2 linked regions of the Oryctolagus cuniculus genome follow. The protein of the gene in region 1 purifies or fractionates together with the protein of each later gene. This does not show direct contact. Links are inferred from orthologs where the notes say so. Each region holds a gene or a part of one and is shown on either strand. Other genes may lie near its edges.

The links.
Region 2: the proteins of BCAP31 (region 1) and CYB5A purify together in Homo sapiens (co-immunoprecipitation; 4 studies listed by BioGRID and IntAct, with this or other methods). This does not show direct contact. The link is inferred for Oryctolagus cuniculus from reciprocal best matches to the Homo sapiens genes BCAP31 and CYB5A.

The regions. Positions count from the first base shown.
Region 1 is NC_091453.1:132,081,330-132,085,133, reverse strand, and holds part of BCAP31 (B-cell receptor-associated protein 31), read left to right. Parts: intron 1-852; coding exon 853-953; intron 954-3,804. UniProt on the Homo sapiens protein: Functions as a chaperone protein. Is one of the most abundant endoplasmic reticulum (ER) proteins.
Region 2 is NC_091441.1:4,464,215-4,468,447, forward strand, and holds the start of CYB5A (cytochrome b5), read left to right. Parts: upstream 1-1,237; 5' UTR 1,238-1,425; coding exon 1,426-1,554; intron 1,555-4,233.

The sequences.
Region 1 (3,804 bases):
CACTAATCTGAGCCACAAGAAGATGTGCAGCGATTCCTGAGGAATATTTTTGCCCAAAACCAAATCTGCATGCAGTTCAGAGGACCCTCGGAAGTGCAACCTGGGAAGCTGTATGGTACAGGCAACCTGGTTTTTGCATAAAGTAAATTGGAAAAGAAAGAGGGAGAAAGGAAGGGGGATTTAAAGAATAAGAGAGACTTACGGCACTTAACTAATGTCCAAAATAGGACCTCGTTGGGTCTTTTAAAAGAATATTTCTTTTTTTTAAAGGTTTATTTATTTATTTGAAAGGCAGAGTTATAGCGAGAGGGAGAGGGAGGGAGGGAGAGAGAGAGAGAGAGAGAAAGAAACCTTCCGCCTGCTGGTTTACTCCTCACATGGCTGCAACAGCCAGGGCTGAGCCAGGCCAAAGCTAGGAGCTTCATCCAGGTCTCCCGTGTGGGTGCAGGGGCACTTAGGCCATTTTCTACTGCTTCCCAAGGAACATTAGCAGGGAGCTGGATTAGAAGTGGAGCAGCTGGGACTTGAACTGGGTGTCCATATGGGTTGCTAGCAGCAGCTTAACCCGCTGTGTCACAACGCCAGTCCTACAAGACACACATTTTGAGTACTACAAAGGAGAGTACAAATGAAAAGTGGGTTTTCCTCTCTAGAGACCACTAATGTCTAGGCATTCCTATCTGTATACATGCAGCTTTTTTTAAGCACTTTTAAATAGCTACCATACATTGGAGAATTCCAGGTGTCTGAAGCTGACACCATGCCGCGCTCGGGCCATGAGAAGAGTGCAAAGCTGACTCTCTGTGCTGGTCAGGGCCCTGCCCCCCAGGATCATGTGCTTTCCCTTCACAGATGGCAGAAGATTTTCAAGTCTCGCCTGGTGGAGTTGGTCGTGACCTACGGCAACACCTTCTTTGTGGTTCTCATCAGCATTCTCGTGCTCCTGGTCATTGGTGAGTGGGCTGTGTGTGGCCTCTGCTGTTCTGTGCTCTGCCAAGTGGGGCTTCTCGCAGACAGATCAGTGAGGCGCCCCCGTCTTTCTTTTGGGCAAGATGGTGCTGCTGCCAGGCATTTGTGGAGAGAGGTTCCTCCAGCAGGGGTGTGACTATACCAGGCAGTCGTTATCTGCATCCTTATGACAACTGCCTCACATTTCCGAGGTTGCTCCTCAGGTCATTCTAGAAGCAAAGCTAAGACAAGCTAACTGGCTCATGTCTCTGGTCTAAGCAGTACTGCTTTCCAGTCATTTAACCAGCAGCATTCTCCCTCAGTGTCTGAAACAGGTCTTCAAATAAGGGGCTGAGCACCCAAGTAGACAGGGAGCCTTGTGGAAGGAAGTCCTGCCGTGTCTGCTAATGGAAAAGGGCACTGAGCTGACTAGCAGTGTAGCTTGGGGACAAATCCCAGACCTCTCTGGATCTGGGCTGGACTTCAGGTCTTTGCAAGTGCTTCCAGCTCTGCGGTCCTATAAACCTTGGCATTGAGACACACACCTGCAGGGGCTTGAAAGACAAATGGACCAGAGGGCATGCTTGGGTGGGGCTGGAGCCGGTGGTGCTAAGATGTAAGGTGGACATTTCAGGGCAAGGTAGTGGCAGAGTTGTTTGGAGGCAGGAGGAGTCCATAAAACTTGTCTGCCTGTTAGTTGTGCACTGTTTTGCTGTGCTGAGTGATCACTGTGTCCACCTACTCAGACTCCGCAGTGTCAGCTCTGTTGGGACAGGGGTCCTGTCTCATGGTGGTGGTGCTGCTTAGGCTTGGCGTACTCCTCTCCCCCGTCCCGTGTCCTTCGCAGAAATGCAGCGGGGACTGCGGGGGTCAGGGGAGTGTGCAAAGACTGCCTCCCACTCCAGGCCTCCAGCTGCAGCATCAGGCATTTCTCCTTCCTGATGTCTTGAGGCCTGACAGGATATGTTCAGGAAGAACTGCCTCTGAACAGGCCAGGTGCGGCTTGCAGTTCCAGCCACGTAGGATAGTGCCTCGCTGTTCCTGCAATACTTGGCAAGACCCCAAGAGGCCGTTCTTCCCAGTCAGGACTCTTCCCTGAGCAGCTCTGAGCCAGGAGCTCGGGGGGGAGTTGCGTGTTGTCTCTGGGGCTGAGCGCCACGAAAAGCCAGGCTACAGAATTTTTGAACTGTGCCTGTATATTTTTGCTCTTAGGTTCTGATTGGAGGCAAGGACTAGGGAAATGAGGGATTAAGCCAGAGATTATTACCTCAGTGCCTTAGCCTTCCAGTACTGTAACCATCTCTGTTTCCTACCGCAGCTCAATGAGCCAGAGATCCTTTGTAGCTTTGAGTACTTGATAAACCTGTATTCTTTTTTAGGATCAAGGTCCTGCTCAGAAGTTCTAGAGAGACATATGGCTGGAACAGCTGGCTGCTTCCTACCCTGATGTTAAAAAGCAGAATCCAGAGAGAGTCCTCTACAAATAGAAATGGTAGTGAATAGCAAGAGCTAGTTAGTGAAAAGTAGTGGGTGCAACCAGCTGGAGCTACAGCCTGGCCCACCCTTTATGTTCCCTGGGAGAGCCCCAGGACCCATGTACCCAGGAGAAGGCGGTGGATGGGTCTAGGGCGCACCTCCTGGGTATGATGAGGCAGAGCCAGTGCCTCCCAGCCCAGTCTTCTCTTGGCTGTTGACCAAGGTGGGCCTTATGACGATGAGATTCCTCGATGCAGGGGGCAGTGTAAGAAAACAGGACTTTTAATCTTGTTTTCTGATTAGAAAGTAATGCTTAATTGTTTTTGAAAGTTTAGAAATTGAACTTAGACAGTTAAAGTCCCCCATCATCCCATGTCTTACAGGCAGCCATCCCAAATACTTTCTCATGCATTTCCACCGGTGTTCTCTGCTTACATCTCTGTTACCATGTTTACAGTAGTGGGATCATGCACACACGTTTTAGATTGTGCTTTTTTCCCTCTGGTTATAAATTAGACATCGTTGTACAGCAATCTCATTCTTCTTAAAGAGTACATAGTATTCTCATATAGTTGTACCACAATTTAATGCCCTCTTTGTAGATACTCTCACAACATTGCACATTTGTACAAAGGCTTCTGTGGGATAACATCAGAGAGAAGGAGTCACTGAACCTGAGGGTATGAACATCTTGCATTTTATTTTATTTATTTATTTTTTTAATTTTTTGACAGGCAGAGTGGACAGTGAGAGAGAGAGACAGAGAGAAAGGTCTTCCTTTGCCGTTGGTTCACCCTCCAATGGCCGCCGCGGCTGGCGCGCTGCGGCCGGCGCACTGCGCTGATCCGATGGCAGGAGCCAGGAGCCAGGTGCTTTTCCTGGTCTCCCATGGGGTGCAGGGCCCAAGCACCTGGGCCATCCTCCACTGCACTCCCTGGCCACAGCAGAGGGCTGGCCTGGAAGAGGGGCAACCGGGACAGAATCCGGTGCCCCGACCGGGACTAGAACCCAGTGTGCCGGCGCCGCTAGGCGGAGGATTAGCCTAGTGAGCCGCGGCGCCGGCCCGAACATCTTGCATTTTATAACAGGTGTCTTATGTCAGTTAGTGTTCCTGCTTAGAGTATGTGAGGGTGCTTGCTTCATGCTACAGATTTGACAGTAAAGGAAGGTGGATTTTTATGATGCAAGATCAGCTTGAAAACCAAGCCGCCAGGAGAGGTGTTTAGCCTAGCAGTTAAGATGCCAGTATCCCATAGCAGAGTACCTGGATTAGATTCCCGGCTCCAGCCTCTGGCTCCAGCGTCCTGTTAATGCAGACCCTGGCAGGCAGTGATGATTGCTCAAGTCACTGGGTTCCTGTCACTCGTGTGGGAGAACTGG
Region 2 (4,233 bases), on another chromosome or scaffold:
AATGGCCGTATGCCGTATGATTCCATTCGTATAACATTCTTGAAACGGTAAAGTTATGTACATGGAACACAGATGCCTGGTTGTCTGGGTCAGGGATGGTTTGCAAAGGAAGTGGGTGTGGCTGTAAGTGGGTAGCACCTGGGAGCCCTTGTGGTGCCACAACTGTTCCGACGTAGTGGTAGTGGAGGTAACACAAATCTACGCAAGTCCTAAGTCAGGACAGAACTGTACAGAATGTCAACTTCCTGGTTTTGATCCTGTGCTATAAATTAAGGTGTAACCATTGCAGGATGGGTGTGGGGTGCATGGCACCTCTCTATTACTTTCGCAGCTTCTTGTGAACCTGTGATTCTCTGAGAAGTAAAGGTTAAAGAAAGCACAGGACTTCCAGGCCATCATCTCAGCGTTTTCGTTTGCATTGGTTGGAGTGAAATAAAGCAGCTGTGTATTATGCGTGACTCAAGCCGAGTATCACAGTGCAAACAGTTTACCTTCTTAGCACTACTCAGTCCTTAGAAACATCTCTTAATACCAAAGTGTCACACTTGGGAATGTTTTCCTGGCGAGCACAAGGGGACGCACATGTATTTTTGGAATGCTTTTCTTCCTCCTGGGCTAGGGCTGCCTGCAGGCCCTGCCGACGCTCGGGCAGGAGGGACTCCGTGGTCACCCCGGGGCCAGGCCTTTTGCAGCCCACCACCACTGCGGGAGGGGCCCGCGTGCCCTGTCGAAGGAGCGCTTCTTCCCGCTTCCTCAGGACGCGGGAGCGGACGGCCGGGAGGCGCACACGCTTCCTCAGAGCGGCAGACTCATGCCCTACTTCGTACGGGAAGAATTCAAGTCCCCGGGCGGAGGTCAGGGACGCGACCCCGCGGTCCGCAGCGGGCATTTGGGACGTGTGCTCCGCGGGAAGCCGAGGGGAGGCTCCCGTCCCATCCAGCGTCTCCGCAACGTCTGCGGATGCGGAGGACGACCACTGACGGCCGCCCCTCACCAAACGCCGGCCACTGCGAGCCGAGGTCGCTACCCTCCCCGGGGAGAACCCTGTCCCCCACCGCGCATCTTTCGCCGCCGTCTGCGCAGTCTCAGCGAAGCCCCGCCCGCCCTCCGCGCCCCCCGCGCCCCCCCGCCGCCGGGTGACTGTGAAGGGCAGCTCCCGCAGCCAATCAGAACCTGCGCGTTGGGCGCGGGGCACGCTCGGGCTGGAGCAGAGGGTCGGCCGAGGGCGGAGCCCCTTGAGCGATAAGCTTCCTGGCCAATCCTCGGGGGCCTCGCGGCGCCCGCCCCTCCTCCGCCGCGCCACCGCCCTGTGTCGGGCGCCGGGCCGGGTGCGCGGGGAATGTCCCGGGCGGAGCTGGTTGAGACGCTTGCCCCGCTCCACCCGGTACGGCTGTGAGTGCAGGGCCTGGTCCGCCTCGTGCAGAGATGGCTGCGCAGTCAGACAAAGACGTGAAGTACTACACCCTAGAAGAGATTAAGAAGCACAACCACAGCAAAAGCACCTGGCTGATCCTGCACCACAAGGTGTACGATCTGACCAAATTTCTGGAGGAGGTAAGTTGGGGGGCCGGGGGCCGCGTGGCCGGGCTTGGGGGGCTCCCTGTGTCGGCGCCGCACGCCCCGCGGGAGCTGCACCCCTGGTCTGCACAGCTGAGCGCGCTCACCTTGGACGCACCGCTGTCCCGGCTCTGCACCCCTGGGCGGGCGTCTCGGGGAGCCCTGCCCACGGCCGCGCACCTGGGGACGCGCCGAGGACCCTCGCCTGCGTTCCTGCCGCGGGAGCCCCTGTAGCCCCCCGCCCCCCAGTCCTGCCTTGCTGCCAGGTGCTGAGCTGCCCTGCTGTGAGTAGGGTGAGAAGATCCGCTCTGTGCTCGAGTTGGGCTGCGCGGGGTCTCCGCTTTGGTGGGCTTCTCCCTCCCGCGAGCCGCTGGGGACAGCGCGCCGGGGTCCGGGCCGCGCTCCCTGCGCGAGCCGCGCCCGGTGCAGCTTGGCGGCGAGCACGGGCCTGCGGCTTGCTGAAGCCCAGGAAGAGGCCAGGGACCGGGAGTCAAAGTTCGGCGGGTGGGACCCGGGCCTCGTAAAGCAACTTGGCATGCCTGCAAGGGAGAACACTCCCTGTGGTCAGACGTGTTGTTTTTTATGAGATTATCCTTGTCACTGCCCACTCCGAGCGGTGCTTGTCCCTGACCATCTCTGGGACCGCATCACTCTGGGGGAGTTCGAGTCATGAATCTACAGGAAGAATGAGGGACCCCCGGCGCGGGCGCTCCCTTTCCCTGGCTGGCTCTCCAGGTGCCAGGTGCAGCCAGGTCTCCCACGTGGGTGCCAGGAGCCCAGTGACATCGCTGCTGCCTCCCAGGGTCTGTGCCTGTGGGCAGCTGGTGTCGGATGACTGGGTTCGGGACCAGGCCCTCCATGTGGGATGCTCACCGCCCAGCGGTAAATCTTAGGCAGCACTGACCCCCCCCCCCCCCCCCCCCCCGCTGCTTTTACTTCTCCCCAGCTTCCTCCTTTTCCCTTCCTTTGATGGGACCAGCAGTGTTGATTGCAGACCGACCTTGGGCGCAGAAGTGGGCCGTTCTCCTGACTCTCTCCCCTCGCCTTCCTGTCTTTCCCCTTTTGATCAGTAGACTCCAGCAGTCGCAGGGAGTCTTTGCGCGATAAGGAAAGCCCGTGTGTCTTCCCTGCATGACCTCGGCGTGGAAGGTTTTGTTCTTTGTGGCTCTGCAGAGCGTCGAGTTGTTGAGGGCTAGCAGCCTCCTCTGCTCTGAATCCGCCCCTCGCCCCGCGGCCCGGCGTCTCCCCTTCCTTCGAGTACCACGGCCGTCCCTGCACGCCCGCGTCCCTGTGGAGAGATCAGCCAAGGTCCTGCCTGCCACCTGCACTCTGTGCTCAGAGTTCATGTTTGTACAACGGGAGAGTGATGACAGTGCTCACTTCACAGTGCTCCCGGGAGAATCAAACCAAACAACCGCTAGTCAGTCACCCGCCAGGAGGGCTTTGATTCATTTCTAACCCGCTCCCGTGGTAGGGAGGGGTCTGGGCTGGGCGACATGTGCAGCTCGGCGTTTCGGGCGAGTTTCTGGGTAAAGGTGTAAGTGTGGCAGGTGATGTTGAAACAGGAGAGAAGGACACAGGTTGGAGTTCAGCTGTTGTGCAATGTGAGCTCTGCCCTCCTAAACTAAAGCTGTTTTGTTCAGGAGGAAGGGTAGGAACCTGAGAAGGAAGCTGGGCTTGTTATTAATGACGGGAGAAAGAGCAGCAGGTGTTGGGTTCCTGCCTAATACTTGCTTGGAGGCAAGATTATAAGCCTTATTGCCTGCATTTTTTTTTAGATTTATTTTATTTATTTGAAAGTCAGAGTTACACAGAGAGGAGAGGCAGAGAGGGGGGGGGGTCTTCCATTTGTTGGTTCACTCCCCAGATGGCCACAACGGCCGGAGCTGCACCAATCAGGAGCTAGGAGCTTCTTCCAGGTCTCCCACGTGGGTGCAGGGGCCCAAGGACCTGGGCCATCTTCTACTGCTTTCCCAGGCCACAGCAGAGAGCTGGATCAGAAGAGGAGCGGCCGGGACTAGAACCGGCGCCCATATGGGATGCTGGAGCTTCAGGCCAGGGCTTTAACCTGCTGTGCCACAGTGCCAGCCCCCGCCTACATATATTTTTAAAGGATTTATGTATTTATTTTACAGGCAGAAAGGGAGAGAGGCAGGAAGGGAGGGAGAGCCAGGGAGAGAGACAGATACCTTCCATCCACTGGTTCACTCACCAAATGACTACCACAGCTGGGGCTGGTCCCGCTGGAACCAGGAGTCTGGGACTCCATCTGGGTCTCTTTCATGAGGGTAGCAGTGGCCAAGTCACTTGGGTCTGTCTTTGCTGCTTTCTCAGGTGCGATAACAGAGATCTGGATCAGAAGTGGAGCAGCCAGGACTCAAATCAACACTCCCATTTGGGATGTTGGTGTCACAAGCAGTAGCTTAAGCCACTGTGCCACAGTGCCAGCCCCACCGTATATTCTGAGCTATACGTTTTGTCAGTCCTGAGTTCTAGTTTTTGAGTTTATATGTGTGAAATTGAATCTTGTCATGTGTGATTTTATTATGACCAGGCTTCGTGGCGCTGGATTCTGTCCCGGTTGCTCCTCTTCCAGTCCAGCTCTCTGCTGTGGCCCGGGAAGGCAGTGGAGGATGGCCCAAGAGCTTGGGCCCTGTGCCCGCATCGGAGACCAGG